Lytechinus pictus: one gene and its partner. The main gene of each other region encodes a partner of the protein of the gene in region 2 in a complex. Links are inferred from orthologs where the notes say so. Each region holds a gene or a part of one and is shown on either strand. Other genes may lie near its edges.

The links. Proteins that work in one complex are often made in the same cells at the same time.
Region 1: outer dynein arm-docking complex subunit 3-like (region 2) and calaxin-like share a complex: the UniProt entries of both Homo sapiens proteins name them as parts of the outer dynein arm-docking complex. The link is inferred for Lytechinus pictus from reciprocal best matches to the Homo sapiens genes ODAD3 and CLXN.

What each region holds. Positions count from the first base shown.
Region 1 is NC_087257.1:8,582,026-8,589,964, reverse strand, and holds the start of calaxin-like, read right to left. Parts: upstream 3,334-7,939; 5' UTR 3,196-3,333; coding exon 3,147-3,195; intron 1-3,146. Other genes in the region: glycylpeptide N-tetradecanoyltransferase 2-like, read left to right, coding at 3,511-3,611, 5,685-5,862. UniProt on the Homo sapiens protein: Component of the outer dynein arm-docking complex (ODA-DC) that mediates outer dynein arms (ODA) binding onto the doublet microtubule. Seems to regulate the assembly of both ODAs and their axonemal docking complex onto ciliary microtubules.
Region 2 is NC_087259.1:10,445,350-10,452,955, forward strand, and holds the start of outer dynein arm-docking complex subunit 3-like, read right to left. Parts: upstream 3,546-7,606; 5' UTR 3,277-3,545; coding exon 3,195-3,276; intron 1,921-3,194; coding exon 1,721-1,920; intron 595-1,720; coding exon 415-594; intron 1-414. Other genes in the region: uncharacterized protein LOC129277736, read left to right, coding at 4,994-5,269. UniProt on the Homo sapiens protein: Component of the outer dynein arm-docking complex (ODA-DC) that mediates outer dynein arms (ODA) binding onto the doublet microtubule. Involved in mediating assembly of both ODAs and their axonemal docking complex onto ciliary microtubules.

The sequences.
Region 1 (7,939 bases), on a different chromosome or scaffold from region 2:
AAATATTTATAACTTTGACTTGGCATATCATGGGAAATAGGAAACCGTTCTGCCTCATTTTAATTTTATTTTAATCAGTGAAATGTAATCACTTTATGATCAGATAATAAATCTATCCTTTCATTTTCCTTTAAAGACTTTAAAGTTTTACTTATTTTTCACAAAACAGTGAATGATACGCAAAACTCAAAATCAAAATTTCAAACAGTAGAGGTGCACGGCCAATATTGGAGACTGTCTCCAATGTGGGAGATTATCTCCAATATCAGAGACTTTTGTAAAGAATTTGGGTATCCAATTTCAGAGACAGTCTCCAGTTTTGGAGACCAATTTCCTTTGTTTACATTTGCTGCAAAAGGATTACCTTGGAGGCAAATAAAAATGTGATAAGCAGATTCCTCATGAAAAATTACCCCTTTTCACCGTCTACTTTAAAATTCACCGTCTACTTTTGTTTTGATAAGGATTTTTGTTGTCAATCACACACAAAACAAATGGGCTTCTGACCTCAGTGAGACAAAATTTTGGGTGGAAAAAATCATGCTTTTGTTGGTGTTGTTTCTTTTGTCCTTTTGCAAAGCAAGTCTCCAATGTGGGAGATTGTCTCCCCTATTAGTATTAGTATTGGAGAGAGTCTCCCATATTGGCCGTGCGCCTCTACTGACACTGACAGTACTGTCAAATGAGAATGATGATGCCTCACTCACTATATAAGTACCGGTATTTTGTTTTTAATTTTATTGTGTGAATTATACAATATTTAATTTTTTTTATTTATAAATCCTCCTGAGTGGGGTATGGTCTCTGGAGCTTACAGCATCCCGCAGCCTGTTTGTTTGCGGGGATGTTGTTTTTGCATGCGGCAAGCCGGCAAAGCCAAAACGCTTGGGCTAGCCCACTCATGGGATCAATGCATCTCGCGTGCGAAGGATTCATATGCACATGGTGCACGCGAATTTTTCACACCCTTTTTACTAAAATAACTAAGCCATTCCTTTTAAAATAATGTTTCTAATTGTGCTATGACACTTACCGAACCATATGGATCGTTTCTTGTCTTCTCTTTGGTGTGTTTTTAAGATAAAAAATGCATTTTCTCGTGATCTTCACGTAGATACCGCAGGGTAATTGTGGTTGTAAACTTTTGCTTAAAGAGCTAGAGGGCGCGCGATATTATTCACAAGATGTTTGTTTACGACGGTTCTGCAGCTTGTACTGCTAGCTGCATTTTAGACGCTCAGCATTATTTTCCTCTTTCTGTTTTTTTTTTTTTGCTGTCAAGCGGTATTTTCTATTGTAGCGCCATCAGCGATGATGAAATGTAAAGAGTCGCCTTGAAATGAAGAAAAATTATGTCACATTAATTCGTTAGTTTGTTTCCTATTTTTTTTCACTTTTTTCTTCTTCCTCATCTATGATCAAAGGTGAATACCTTTTTTTGATATCTGTTCTAAAAGCTGGACATTTTAAATATTTTGTTCAAGTAAATAAATCAACAGGATAGTAATCAAAATGCGATAGAGCTGCCCGAGCTGAAAATTCTGATACAAGGACTTGAAAATAAAACATTCTGAGCACTTATTATAACCATGATGAGGAGACCTATATATATATATATATATATATATATATATATATGTGTGTGTGTGAAGTTATACATGTACTACAGCTTTGGCAACTCTTTTATTTAAATATTGTGTGACGTTGTATAAGCGCCTTTGTATAACAATTAAAAGGGTAGGTCTATTTACCTTACAAATTATGCGAGCGCTGAACTTTTGGACATTTAAACCTCAACAAATGGACATTTTTTAAATATGAACAACATCATAAATGTCACTTACAAAAATGATGCCAGCGCGAAGCTCGCGCTTAGAGTTTTTGATATTGATGACAGGACTGTATCTAAATGAAAAATAATGCGAGGGCATTTGCGCTTAAGATTTAAATTTGGGATTTGAAAAGTCCGACAGATTACCTATACTTTTAAAAGAGGAATGACCTCCAGAATTCAAGCGCGAAGCGCCAGTAGATTTATGTTGAAGTTTAGACCTAGAACAGGGACGTTGAACCTTTATAATCATGAAAAAGATGGTATTTTTATAAATAAAACATGGGAGTCTAATTTTGTTTTAGTGTTAATATTCAGATCTTCAAACTTGACATTTTCCTATCCCCTTCATTATCCCCTCTCCTTCTCCCTTTCCCCATTTTCGTTCTCCCTTCTTTTCTTCTCTCCCTTTCCCTTCCCTTTTTCGCTTTTCCTTTCCCTTCTTTTCTTTCCTTTCTCGCTCTTTCCATTTTTCTTTCCCTCTCCCTTCCCCTCTTCCTTTCCTTTGTTTTCTTTCTATTTTATGGTCTCCTTTTCCCTCTCTCTCCTCTACCTTTCCCCCTCCCTTTTCCTTTCCCTTTCCCTCTCCTTTTTTGTGCAAACATATAAAAATACGTGAAGGATATGTTCCTCTTCTGTTTTATACTTTAACAGAAAACATTTTGTTCAACCAAATTATGATTTGTATTTCCAAGTTCCATGTAATATTTTCATTGGAAAATCTCTTAAAGGTCAAGTGCACCCCAGAAAAAATTGTTTGAATAAATAGAGAACTATGTTGATTTTTGGTACAATTTCCTATTATGCGCCGACGACTTGAATCGAGAATGTTCGATAGGAAAATTTCGCATTTCGATTGTTGTTTGCGTAATTTCCACCGCAGTACGAAGGATGACTAAGGACGGACCGAGCGAAGTATCCTGGTTGAGATTTGGAGGTAAGCGATAAAAACACTTTAATAAATAATTTATAATTGCTTTTTCATAAAAACTTGATCATACGATCAAGATTAACATAGCGGACAAATATTGAAAGGTTTGGCGTAGTTTAGTCCCTCACATTCGTGTGATGAATGAAAACGTCAAAATGCACTATGAAATCACATGTGTTGTGCGAGGTTAGTAATACTAACCTCGCATGTTGTGTGAGTGGGGCTAGCCTAGGGTCCGATACGGTGCCGGAGCTCTGGGGAAGGTATCGGGCCCGGCCCCAGGTCGGGCGCGTCGCAGGGCGCAGCTCTGCCTCACTCAGGTCGGAACTTCCGGAAGGTACCGAATAAGTTTGGCCTTGGGCTAATTAAATACCTAATACTTACAGTGGAATTCTTTTGCCTGATTTCCAGCATTCTTTTTACTTCCTTTCATGGTGATATTTATTCAAAAGAAACCGATTTCCCTCCAAATTAAATGGTATAATGATCTAGGACGGTACAAATTCGCGGGGTTGTTGACGATAAAGCTTCACGTCTCTATGCATTTTGCGCATGCGCTTGGGCAAAATGTTTTCTCTATTTTCTTGTTATTAATTTTGTTATTATATTTTTATCCTTTTTAGGAAAGAAAAAAAATAATTTAGTGATTAAATAAATATCAATTTTATTTTAAACTGAATGCGTTTTAAGTTAGACCCTTCCAACTCTTTAAAAAAGAAAAATTATCTGACCAATTTAGCCAAAAAACATGGCGGAGAACATGGACTCGCAGACGGTGACAGAAGAGAATCTTGACCCTGTTACAAATGGAGAAAAAACTGCTGGCAGTGAAGCACAAACTGAAACAGAGTAAGTGAAATAGTTATCAGTTTATTCAGCTATACACTTAAAATCCCCTAATACCATATTGACAACATGCAGGATTCTGCACGACTGCACTTCATTTCCGTCCAGGCCAGCCGTGTGCCCGTGTTCGGAAGTGTTCATTCAAGTCAACTGAGCTGCACGGGCACGGTCTGGCGCGCGCACGGGCCTGCGCCGATCGCGCCCGGGGCAGTACCTCACCAGCTGTAATCGCGCTGGGCCTGGGCGCTCATGCTCAAGTTGGTGGCTGTCTTGTAACTGATCGTGCACTTACTTAGTTTAGGCCTAAATAATCTTCTTGATGGTGTCCTCAGTCATGCCATGAGTTACTAGCAGTAGCATGCCATGGAGGAGTGAAAGTGAAAGAAGAAGAAAATATTGAAATGAGCAAAACTTTATAATTTTTTATTCTTTAAATTTAAGCGAAAAGAAGAAATACCACTTGAAATGAAATAAAATGAGATAAAAATAAAATAAAAATGAGTCTAACTCTATGTCTGAAAATGAGATTAGATCAATAAGAGCAAGATCAAGAAAAGAGATGGGGGGGGGAAGAAAAGAAGAGAAGGGAAAGAAAAGAATAAAGGGAGGAGGGAAGATCATTTTGAAGATCAAGGAGATCATCATTTGGGTGTGGAAATGACCCACATCGAACAACAACAACGAGGAGGGAAAGAGAACTTAAGAGTGAAGTTGAAGAAGGGAGGAGGTAGAAAAAAAATAAGAGGAAAGAATTTAAAAAAAGAAGGAAAATAGAAGAATAAGGAGATGGAACTTAGCTTAGAAGCAGAGGAGGGGGTGGAAATAAAAAAAGAAAAAGAAGACTGAGAAAAAGAATTAAGAGAAGGAGGAACTCAGGAAGAAAGGGTGGGACATTAAGAAAGGAAAGAGATAGGAGGAGAAGAAAAAGAAGAATAAGTTCAAAGAAGAATGATAAGAAAAAGAATAGCAAATGACAAAAAAGAACAAGATGGAGAGGAAGGAGGAAGAATTATTCAAAATAGGAGTAGAATGAAGACAAATGAGGAGGACAAGGAACTGGAGAAGGGGGGGGGGGAGAGCTCGAGAGTGAAAGGAGGGGAGAAGCTCTAAAAGAAATAATGATAGGAGAAAAAAGATAAAAAGGAAAACAGAAAAGAAAAAAGAAAAAGAAGATGATAGAAAAATAAGGGCTGTGAGTGACAGAGAAGTGATAAAGAGGACTCTTACTTTAGTTGTGAAAAATTTGATAATGGAGAAACCTAAATATTTCATCAAGTTTCTCCTCCCTAATTTCAAATCAAGCATGAAAAGATGTCCCCTTTCAAGCAATCCTTGTTGCCATATTAATGGAAAGTATTCAGTTGTTTGCATAATTATTGATTGTGAAAAGTGATAAAATAAAATATTTGTCAATTACCTGTTTGAATATTTCAATCCATGCTGAATGATTGCAGGTAGATAGTATGATTAAACCCTCTAAATGTGTCCAGGGCCTCCAGGCTGTTGAAAATATATACCCTTTTGATACCCAACAAGTTTGGAAGTTTCCTGCAAGACTACCAGGTAACTGAGAGCTGCAGTGGCCTGTAGCAGACTGGTTTAAAATCTTTGTTTCTAGTCAGTATGCTACAGATCATCTTTTCGTTTGGGAGAAATTGAACTTGGGGGGTTTAGGATTTCTGCTAAGAGAGGGTATGAGTACAAATTGGGCTATTTCAGGGGGTAACTATCTTTCCCAAAGCTGAATCCCAAAGCTGAACTATAGGACTGCCCAACTTTGGCAAAAGGAAGCAAGTGACACATCAGTCGAATTTGAGTTGTTTCTGGAACATACTTTCTATATTGCACGTTCAGGCAAAATTTTGGGAAGAAATGATTGTTCGATGAAAAGATATTGATCAAAGATAATGTGATGTTAAATTGCATTTACGCCTATGTAAATGACAAACACACATTTCTCATTTGTAACTTGCTTCCTTTTGCCAAAGTACGGCAGAGGAGTGGACATGTCTATGGTATACTGTCGTACTGTAATACACTACATTTTCTCTCGCTCGCTCTCTCTTCCTTCAATAGTCCTACCAGTAATTTAGACGAAGAACAGCCTTCAACCAGTCAGCAAGGGGCCACAGGTGGAGCGGATGATGATGGAGGAAAAGACAAGAAAAAGAAGAAAAAGAAAAAGAAGAAGGCAGATGGAGCTTCAGGCGGTGCTGCAGTGGGGGTAGACCAGATTGATTCCCGTGTTAGTCAGGTAGTTCCTTTATTCATCTTTTGATTTCTATGCCTGAGCTGTTCCAATATGATCCAATATGATTTTGCAATTAGTCTAAATTCCATCAGAATTAAACCCACTCGGTGCACATGTACTCTCAATTTGGTCTAATTACCTTTCGTTCCAACAATCAATTTGTCTAATACTTTTTGTTTACAGTAGTCTAATGCCCAGATAGTCTCAATTCCCCCTTTTGCACACTTTGTCAAAAGAAAATTTGGCTCATACAGTATTGTTTTGCACTTTATCAAATGAAAATTTGGTTCATGTGAACAGTTAATCTATTCATAGATTAGGCCCCCATTCCACAGAGGGGAGACCTTGGAAGGACTTCTGAAAGACCCAAAAATAGCAAGGTCTTAACAGCAGTCTCCAAGATCACTGAAATTTGACGACTCTGTGAAATACTGATTGATACTTTTTGTCTTACTAGACTTAGACAAGTCCTATAGATATCTTTCAATGATCTTCCAGAGATCTTTTATGCAGCAAGTGATCTTTAAGAATTCTTTCAATGGACTCTCCCTGGTCTTTCAATGATCTTTGAATGATCTCTCACGAGTCCTACAGTGATTTCCCAAAAAATCTTGAAAGACTGTCGAAAGATCATGGAAAGACTATTAAGAACTTTGAAAGTTCATGGAAAGACCATTGAAAAACTCCTGAAAGACCACCAAAAACATTTTCTTGAGGACTACGAAGACCACTGAAAGATCCACCAGGAAACGTGAAAGACCTCAGAGATCTTTTGAAAGTTGATTGAAAGACCCTTGAAAGATCAAGCAAGTTTCATGGTCTTACAGCAGTCTTTCGGAGGTCTTACTCTTTGTAGGAAGGAGATTTAAGTGGCTTTAGACAAAAATTGAAAATAGTGAAACTGGTTAACTGGGTTAAATGACAATGCATTACCAAAACGTCAGAAGACAAAGAGGTTGTAGACCAACTAGGATTAAACCATGTAAGATGAGACCAGATTTAATACAAAATGGACACAAGTGGCAATTTACCCCATTCACATGCCTTTACCAAGCGGAGAATATGTTGAAGATGTTTTTGGCTTGTGCATCCCTCCTGTACTGACCGCACAGAAACGTTGTTAGCATTTACGATGCGCTACATGTAACGGAGGCTCTGATACAATCGGCAATGTGACAGCGATGCCTAATGTTACAACAATGCATTACTTGCATGTGGAAATCAAATGTTTTGGCTTCACAATCCGAAAGATATGACTGGGCTTGCTGTTAGCGCTTTGTTTAACTAACAACGTTTCTGTGCGGCTGGCATAGGTAGTTTCCAATAGGATGCCTGAATCTGGGCATATTATTAATAATTTGTATTTGTATTTATCATCCTTATTTTCTAGTTATTATGTTAAAATGTTCATTTTAAAATTTTTGTGCTTACATTTTGGTGGCAGCACTGTATAAGACTTGGTTCTTCTAAGCTGTCTCCACATTCTTATATTGATATTTTGTTTATTACTATGTATATTTATGTGTTTTTATGAATGAAATAAATTGAAATTGAATTGAATTGAATTGTGAAAGATTACTGGTACTCACAACCACAATAAATTTTCTCGAAATAGAGCTGACATCTTTGAACTGAGATATTAAAGAAAACAGAATAAAATGAAAATGAAATGATGATGCTGGTGATGGTAATGGTGATGATGATAATGATGATGTGGATATGATGATAATAATGGTAATATTAGTTATTGCAATAACAATAATCATGAAAATGATAAGGATCATGATATAACGATAATGACAATAATTTATAAAGATTTGATTAATGGTTATGATGATAGTGATTGTTAGAGTGGTGATAATCACAATAATTGTGTTAAAATGGTGATTGATGATGATGTGGAGCGTTGTGGCCCAGTGGATAAGTCTTCGGAATTTGAAACAGAGGGTCGTGGGTTCGAATCCCAGCCATGGCGTAATTTCCTTCAGCAAGAAACTGATCCACAATGTGCTGCACTCAACCCAGGTGAGGTAAATGGGTACCGGTAGGAAGTAATTCCTCAATAAGCTGTGTGCCCTGT
Region 2 (7,606 bases):
TTCGTAATGAACGGATGTTCGGCTGTCTTAGGATTGACGATCATTTATTTAATACTTCTGTAATTCATTTAGTCATACAAATGCCGAACCCTGAATCGAACCAAAGTTCAGAAAATAATTGCTAAACCAGGCCGAACGGAACCCAAACATGCCGCCTGACTATATAATGATAATATGAAATATCTCAAATTCTTTCTTTGTCACCATTTTATGCTAAAACGAATATCTTTCATAGTTCACTGCATTGCAGATGTTAAGTTTGTGTAATTAACATTCATTCACTTTCACTCAAGTTAATCTATAAATTTATGTTTTTAAACAATGCAAGTTGGTAAAAAATAATTACAATTGTTGCCAATTTAAGAAAACCATATTAATTCAAACAATACAAAACTAAATGGTTGTTTCACTTACTGTGGCATCTTCTGATGTCCCTGCTGTGGTAGCCTCTGCATCCGATGCATCCTTGATCATCTGATCATACTGGACCTCAAGCTCGGCAAAATTCTTCAATCGCTTCAGGGTCTGGGACTTCTCTGCATTGAGTTTTTTCTTGGCCTCACACGCCTTCTGGTCCATGATACGGATTGCTTCCTGTAAAGCCACAATAAAGGGATATATTTTGTTATCACTAACAAATTTAAACAAAATACATGTACTCTCTTTAAAGGTATAATTGAAATAAATACCTGCCCATCTGTGTCAAACATAAGAATGTCTAATTCAAGAAAAAAGACTAGGAAGAGGGAGATCAACTTTAAAAATACCACTGACCCACTGACAGTAACTGAACAATATGGGAGGTACATGTATTTCTATAGCCATGGTTAGGTTAAACCTGCGTTGCATTCGACCACACTTATATGGAGTGCCAGTTTTTATTATTCTCCAATTAAACATTATTCTCATCCTGCTGCAAAAAAAGTTTTCAAAAGTTAACTGAAATGGGGTGAATAGGAAAATACAAATATATAATGAATTTTAATGAAGTGATTGGCACAATACAGTTGCCATGAATATGGAAGAAATATTATGAAGCCAGCATTCAATAGAAGTGTGGTTAAAATTCTACTTTAAAGTTAGACTAGGGTTAAACCTTGGTATAATTATCAGCATGTGCCTACTATAAACCTTTCCCTGGAAAATATTCGGTTAAAGCTTTAACTGATACATCTATTAAGCTGATATTCTTATCAATAATAATATGCAAAAAAAAACACACAAAGAAACTTACATGTATAACCACAATATCAGAGGTAGACAGGAATATAATTGAATCTAAATCATACATGTATTCTCATAATCATACTGTACAAGTACTTTTCTGATTGAACAAACCAAACTAAGACTAGGAGTATGCAAGGACCAAACTCTCCTCTAGATTAAAATTGAAATAACGTTTTACTAGCATACCTTATGTTGGTCAAAACATTAAGTTATCAACAACATTGGTTATCAATTAATAGTGGCATACATGTACATAACTGGTGTTTGATTCCTAGAGTAGTTTGAAAAACAAAACAAAATTAAGATCAATATTAAAGGTTTTTTTTTCTGATTTCCTTTTTATTTTACCAAGCTGCAAAGGTTATTCATGACTTCATGAAAGATTAACCCGTTGCAGACTGGATGATTTTGCTATAACAAGTTTTCCATAGACTCCAGCGGCAGCCCATATATACTCGCACCTAATGGGTTAAGAAACATTTAAGTTACCCACCCGTCCAGATTTGCCTCTGAGCGAGGCGCGCTCCACCTCTCGACTCTTGAAGGCAATATCCAGTACCCGGTCATCTCCCGCCTTGCTTGCTGCTAGCCGCTTGTGTAGGGTCTTGTTTTCCTGTCGCAACTTACGGATGACTTCAAGGTTCTGCTTAATGGTCCACTGGGAACTCTCGTAATATGCTTTCCTGTCACCATCTTTAAACAAATATTAATAAATAAAATAATCATTGAACTGAATTAGGTACATGTACATGGAACAATATATGAAAAAAAATCATATGACTTTAAACATCATTAATGGAATGATCATATTGATAAACTCTAATAAACATGGCATCCATTTTTCATCAACCAGTTTAACCATGTAGTCAGATGCGTATTACTAGTATTAGATCCAATGTGTAAAATTATTCAAATTGATACCAATATCTTTGCATCTAATATGCTGAACAGATTCTACATGTAACTTTTGTTCTGTGGATTTATTTATCAATTCCTGACACCAAGATCAATAGACCTATCTGATTTTTACCATCCTCAATATAGTAAGCGTGTCAAAGAGAACCTAGTCTCCTAGACCAAAAGTTTTTGTTTCTCTTTATTGGTAATCAATATCCACCTGAGGATCAGGACCAGGAACCCAACATGGCAACAGATGTTGTTGGTTCCCAATTCCGTTGGATGTTTTTAGTCACTACACATCCTCCATGACCATGTGTTAGAATGTATGGAGGTGAAAACAAAAAACTCCTCCAAACAGACAGATTCAGCTACAGCCTACATGTAGATTCTAGATCTAAGCCTAACTAAAAGCCCTAATTAAGGCTAAGCTAAGGAAACCAAGTAGGCCTAGGACTTTAACATTACGTTTTGTCAATTTTGATTATTTCACAATTTCTTTCATTTTACTACTAGTACTAGGCCTACCCTCCCCAGACTGTATCCCACGTAGTCGTAGTCGATAACATTGGAACAACCATCCTTGCCTTAGGCTTAGCCCTTACAAGTCTGCTTTTGAACTGTCAGTCACACATGTGCCAGCGACCCTGGCCTCTGCCAAACTTAATCATCAACAAGACCTTTTATCCATTTGATCATTGACTTTGGTCTCGTCTCAAATAGACTAATACCTGCCCTAGCTTATTTTTGTTGATAGATCCTAACAAATAACATCTCACTGACTTCAGTTCAGTCTCTCTCACTCACGCTTGTCTTGACACTGTTCTGTTCAGTCCAGATTCCATTTATTTCTGAACATCTTCAACTCAAAGTCAAACTTTATCATTGCATTACCAATTTAATATGGCCCCTTGTGTTTATGAAAAAAAACTTCATTAAGTGTTACCAATGAGAGTACGTCATGGTCATCTAGATCTGGGCGTATCAATTTATTTCAATTTCTACATCCCCATTTAATTTACATTGCACATGACATGACAAGTCACAAAATGATTTTTTTTTTTACTCACCCAACAAGGAGATTTTACGCTGCAATTCTGATATTTGCTCCGTAATCGGAGTGTTGCTGTTTGTTTTGCCGACACCCGGCATTTTCGTGAGTTTTCCTGTCCTTCACCAAAAGTTAAAGATGTAAAAATATCAACAGAAACAAGTCTTTTTCAAAGAAATCTCGCTGCCAAGTCCATGTATCTTTTCGTAGTGAAGATTGTTTACGTTAATCTAGCTAGCTAGCTCTGCATAGGAAATCTACACACAAAATTTGTATTGGATTCCCGTGTATTGTACACGTACGAAATCCGCGAAACGAGAGCTTGCGATCGACGAAGGCTGTTTTGTCGCACGTTTCCCGTAGCAACTGCCGATCGTCGATAGCGCCAGCTGCGACCAATATGCGCGCAAAGACGCTGACGCCGAATTCGTCGGAAAAAAAAATATTCAGGGCGAGTATATAGAGCTATAACGTATAAGAAACTCAGAATAGATAATGGACGATAATACATATTTCATTTTTTTCTGAAATATTTCACGAAAGCGTACACTTAGCTTTGCGGGGGCCGCGGATAACACAGCCCCCCACTTTGTTTTTCCAAAACCGTGTACAAAAACGTAAAAATGACCATCTGATTGTGGTTTGTTGCATAGTCAGCCCCCCCCCACACCCTTTCAAAACCGTTCCGCGGCCCAAGTGGGGTTTGGTACAGGCATTTTTTTAAACCACATCAATGTTGAGCTGGCCCCTCGGAGGCGGCTTAATTAGGAGTACCCCCCCCCCCTTTTTTTTTTCTTTTGTCTGTTGTGCTTTTTAATAGGTCCAAAGTGTACAGCTTTTTCACTGCAATAGTGCGAGTAAAAAAAAATACATGGCAAAAGTATCAAATACAAAGTGGGTTCTTAATTTGGCCATGATGATGGGCAATGTTATTCGGATTGGTTAGACAGGAATACGGAGGCTCTTGATTATAAATTGTTAATCAGGGAGAGTTATTGGGGTGTTTTGTCACCATAAACGATACTAGGATATGGATGTAGGAATGTATATATACCGTATAGTGATATGCCTCCAATAGAACACTGAAACAATACAAAGAAAATGATGTATTTTTCTGTCACTGTGAGAGAATGTCACATTGATAACTGGTGAAGACAAGGAACAACAAACACACTGTTCAGCTAAAATATTTTCTTTTTCAAGAGGGGATATTGATAGCACAAAAAAAGTGCAGATTATCCCCCATTAATGGATTTTAAAGTTTTCATTAAAATGAAAGGACATCATTCACGACATGAAAACAAAAAGATATTAGAACCAAATGCTAGCATAAGCCTAAACTTAATCCTGGACAAGGTGATACGATAGTTGTCTTTTTTGGACACAGTCTTTGATAATGAAACTAAATATTGAATTTCTGACGCTTTATCACCCACAGCAATACTGGGTGAAAGGGAATCATGATCGTTAAATCATTAATGATAATGTAGAAACTTATACAACTGGTAGTGCATTCAACCACCGCAATGGCATAGCAGACTATAAATCAATACCTCGTGACTAATTACCAATGTCAGGTGATAAAGGCAAATGGACCAATAATGAGCCTCTAATTACACGCGCGTGCGCGCAAAACTTTTCTTTTGTGACGTCAGTTGTATACATAATGCATCAAAGACAATGGTCATTACGACGCGACAAGTTCATGAAGTGGACATTAGTAAACAAAACATTCCCCGGATAAGGTGGTGTTAAGTAATTAAATTAAAGTAATGATATTTTAACAATAGTTTAATATTTTAAGCGGAAGGAACCGAAATGGCAGCAGCGTGCATTCACATGCTACCCACACCGGGGGCAAAATGCGCTGCAAAAGAAATTAAAAACCAGCACGAGGACAGTTGGGAGATTTTTCCCGAAGACGAGGCAGCCGGCGTTGACCGCTACGGGAGTTTGTACGCCCAAGATTACAGCTTGGAATCTATCAAGCCCAAGACCGGGAAATCGGCCAATGTCCCAGCGACGATATGGAGGGTGTGGCAAGGTTACCATGGTCACATCTCTCCTCCTAGAAACAACCCACATCCGTCCGTGGTAAGTAGCAAGGGGGATCGGGTGTCCGGACACTGTCTTTATGATTTTGAAGCCTTATTTTTTGTATTTGGATTACACTAAAAATATGAATTCAATAGTTGTAATCGTCTTCTATGTTGTTCTCTGTAATATTACCTAATATTTTGTACTAAATATTGATGAAACTTCGCTTATTATTTTTTTTTCAAATGACTGTTCAAAATTGATTATCCGGACACACAATCTGCCTGGACACACATCTTACAAAAAAAAAAAAAAAAGGTGTTAAAATTTTAAGCACGAAGTTAAAATCCGTCACTTTAACAAATGTTTAAACTTTTAAACCATAATTTTAATCTAAATTTGTAACAATTTGTTTATGGCAGTTCTTAAGCGCTTACGATATCCCCTCGGCCCTAATTCGAATTATACCGAACTTCAAACTTTTAGTTCCCCTTATTCTATTGCTTTATTTTCATCTTCATTCTCATTTCATGAGCCTGCTTGCACGCATTAAAAGTTATACCTAAATTTAATTCATTACAAGCTTATTCGACCCCCCCCCCCCCAAGGTCAGTCTCTTTTTGGTTTGCATTTTGCACATTGCGTTTAATTGCCACTTTTTGCGAAAGTGCATAAGACATGTTAGATGGTCGAATCGTTGCCACCCCACCTCGGTCAGCGTGTGAAAAGGGGAAAATTTGCCGCCCTTCAATAATTGCTCATGATTGTGTCCAAACACAGAGTAGTGATTCGTTATGAATATCTATCATCAATATCATTCATCTACTGTCGATAAAAAAATATTTAATAACAGCTATCCGTAGACTGTTCGTGTTAAACAGCTTAAAGTGTAGAGTTTAACATCTTAAAGTGTAGTGTTAAATATCTTAAAGTGTTATCTTATTTTTGTGTGCATGAGTTTCGCCTGGACACTGAAGAAAACTAACAAAACACATTCTATTGCTAAATTCGTATATTACAAGCTTTCATCAATATTATGAGGCATGAACGCAGAAAAGGGTACGTTTCTTTTCATTTTATTGGAAAAAATAATAAAAGTTGAGCCTCAAAGAAAACATTTAACATCTGAATGATACCTTTGTAGAGAACAAAACATCCCAAAGCTCTTAGACGACGTGAAATTATCGACAAATCATTTGGAGCGCTAATAATGATGAACAAGACAAGGTTTTGATATTGATTAGATCATGCTTAACCATTGTCTAGGAATGTGGCATGGATGCAGATGGAAAAGAATAACAAGCGACCAAAATCGTTTTTCTGTTGATTAGCAAAAAGGTTTGTGGTATTCTGTTTGTCTGTCACGTGTCCGTGATCAATGTCATTGCCTTAGTTACATTTTCTGAAACACGGTTGCTGCCACCATCTAAGCGATCTTTGCTTGGATGGAGATAATGAAAGTCCATTGTCTTTATCGACTGAAATAATAATCGGGAGAACATAGGATGGATGAAATTGTCGTTCTTAACTCAATCCCAGAATGATCATGACAAGAGCCACAGAACAACCGGGCTGGAGGGCTAAAAACGTTAACGTGACCACCAGGGCCCTGATGCATGCATTAAAGAAAAACTATATGGACATTTTTTGCCTGAGTTTTTAAATGTGTAAGTTTTAATGGCATAATTCTGTTTGCCAGAGTTTTTTTATGGCAAAAGTTTAGTGCAACGTGTCCCTGATTGTAATTTATTTTCCGTGGTCAGCCCCCCTTCGGCTCTACTATATCAAACAACATTTTTCCGAAATTTTTCAGCTCGCGCTTCGCGCTCTTATCAGTTGTTTAGTACCATAGTCCTGGTTACAAAAAATGTGCTTTAAAATGTGTTAAGTTTTCGGTCAGTATATAAATTTCAAAATTTATTTAGATAAAAATCTTGATCGTAATTTAAAAAAGAATGCTCAGAATACTCAATTTTCAGGCCTTAAAACATGTAATATTTCAAAAACCCGAGATCGTGCTCACAATATTTATTAAGGCTAAATGAGATACCTATCTAGCTTGTAAGAACATGGATCTATGGTAAGAATAATGTCACGATATTTCCTTAAACTTCAATTTTTAGTTAGGACTACCCCCTCAAAAATAATCTGGGGAATTCTGTATGAAAATACCCCCCCCCCCCCCCCCCTGGCGAAAGTTGGATCCTCTCATCATGTGGATCGAAATCTGTGACAAGCAGCACCATATAACATGAAAATAGGCGCGGCGACCGAGCACGAAATGATTACATCAACTATTGAAACTTACTATTTAATACACACGGTATTTGGGTAAACTGGAAATGAAAGGTCATTAATATGCGTTTTCACCCATTGGCGTAGGATCTAGGAGGC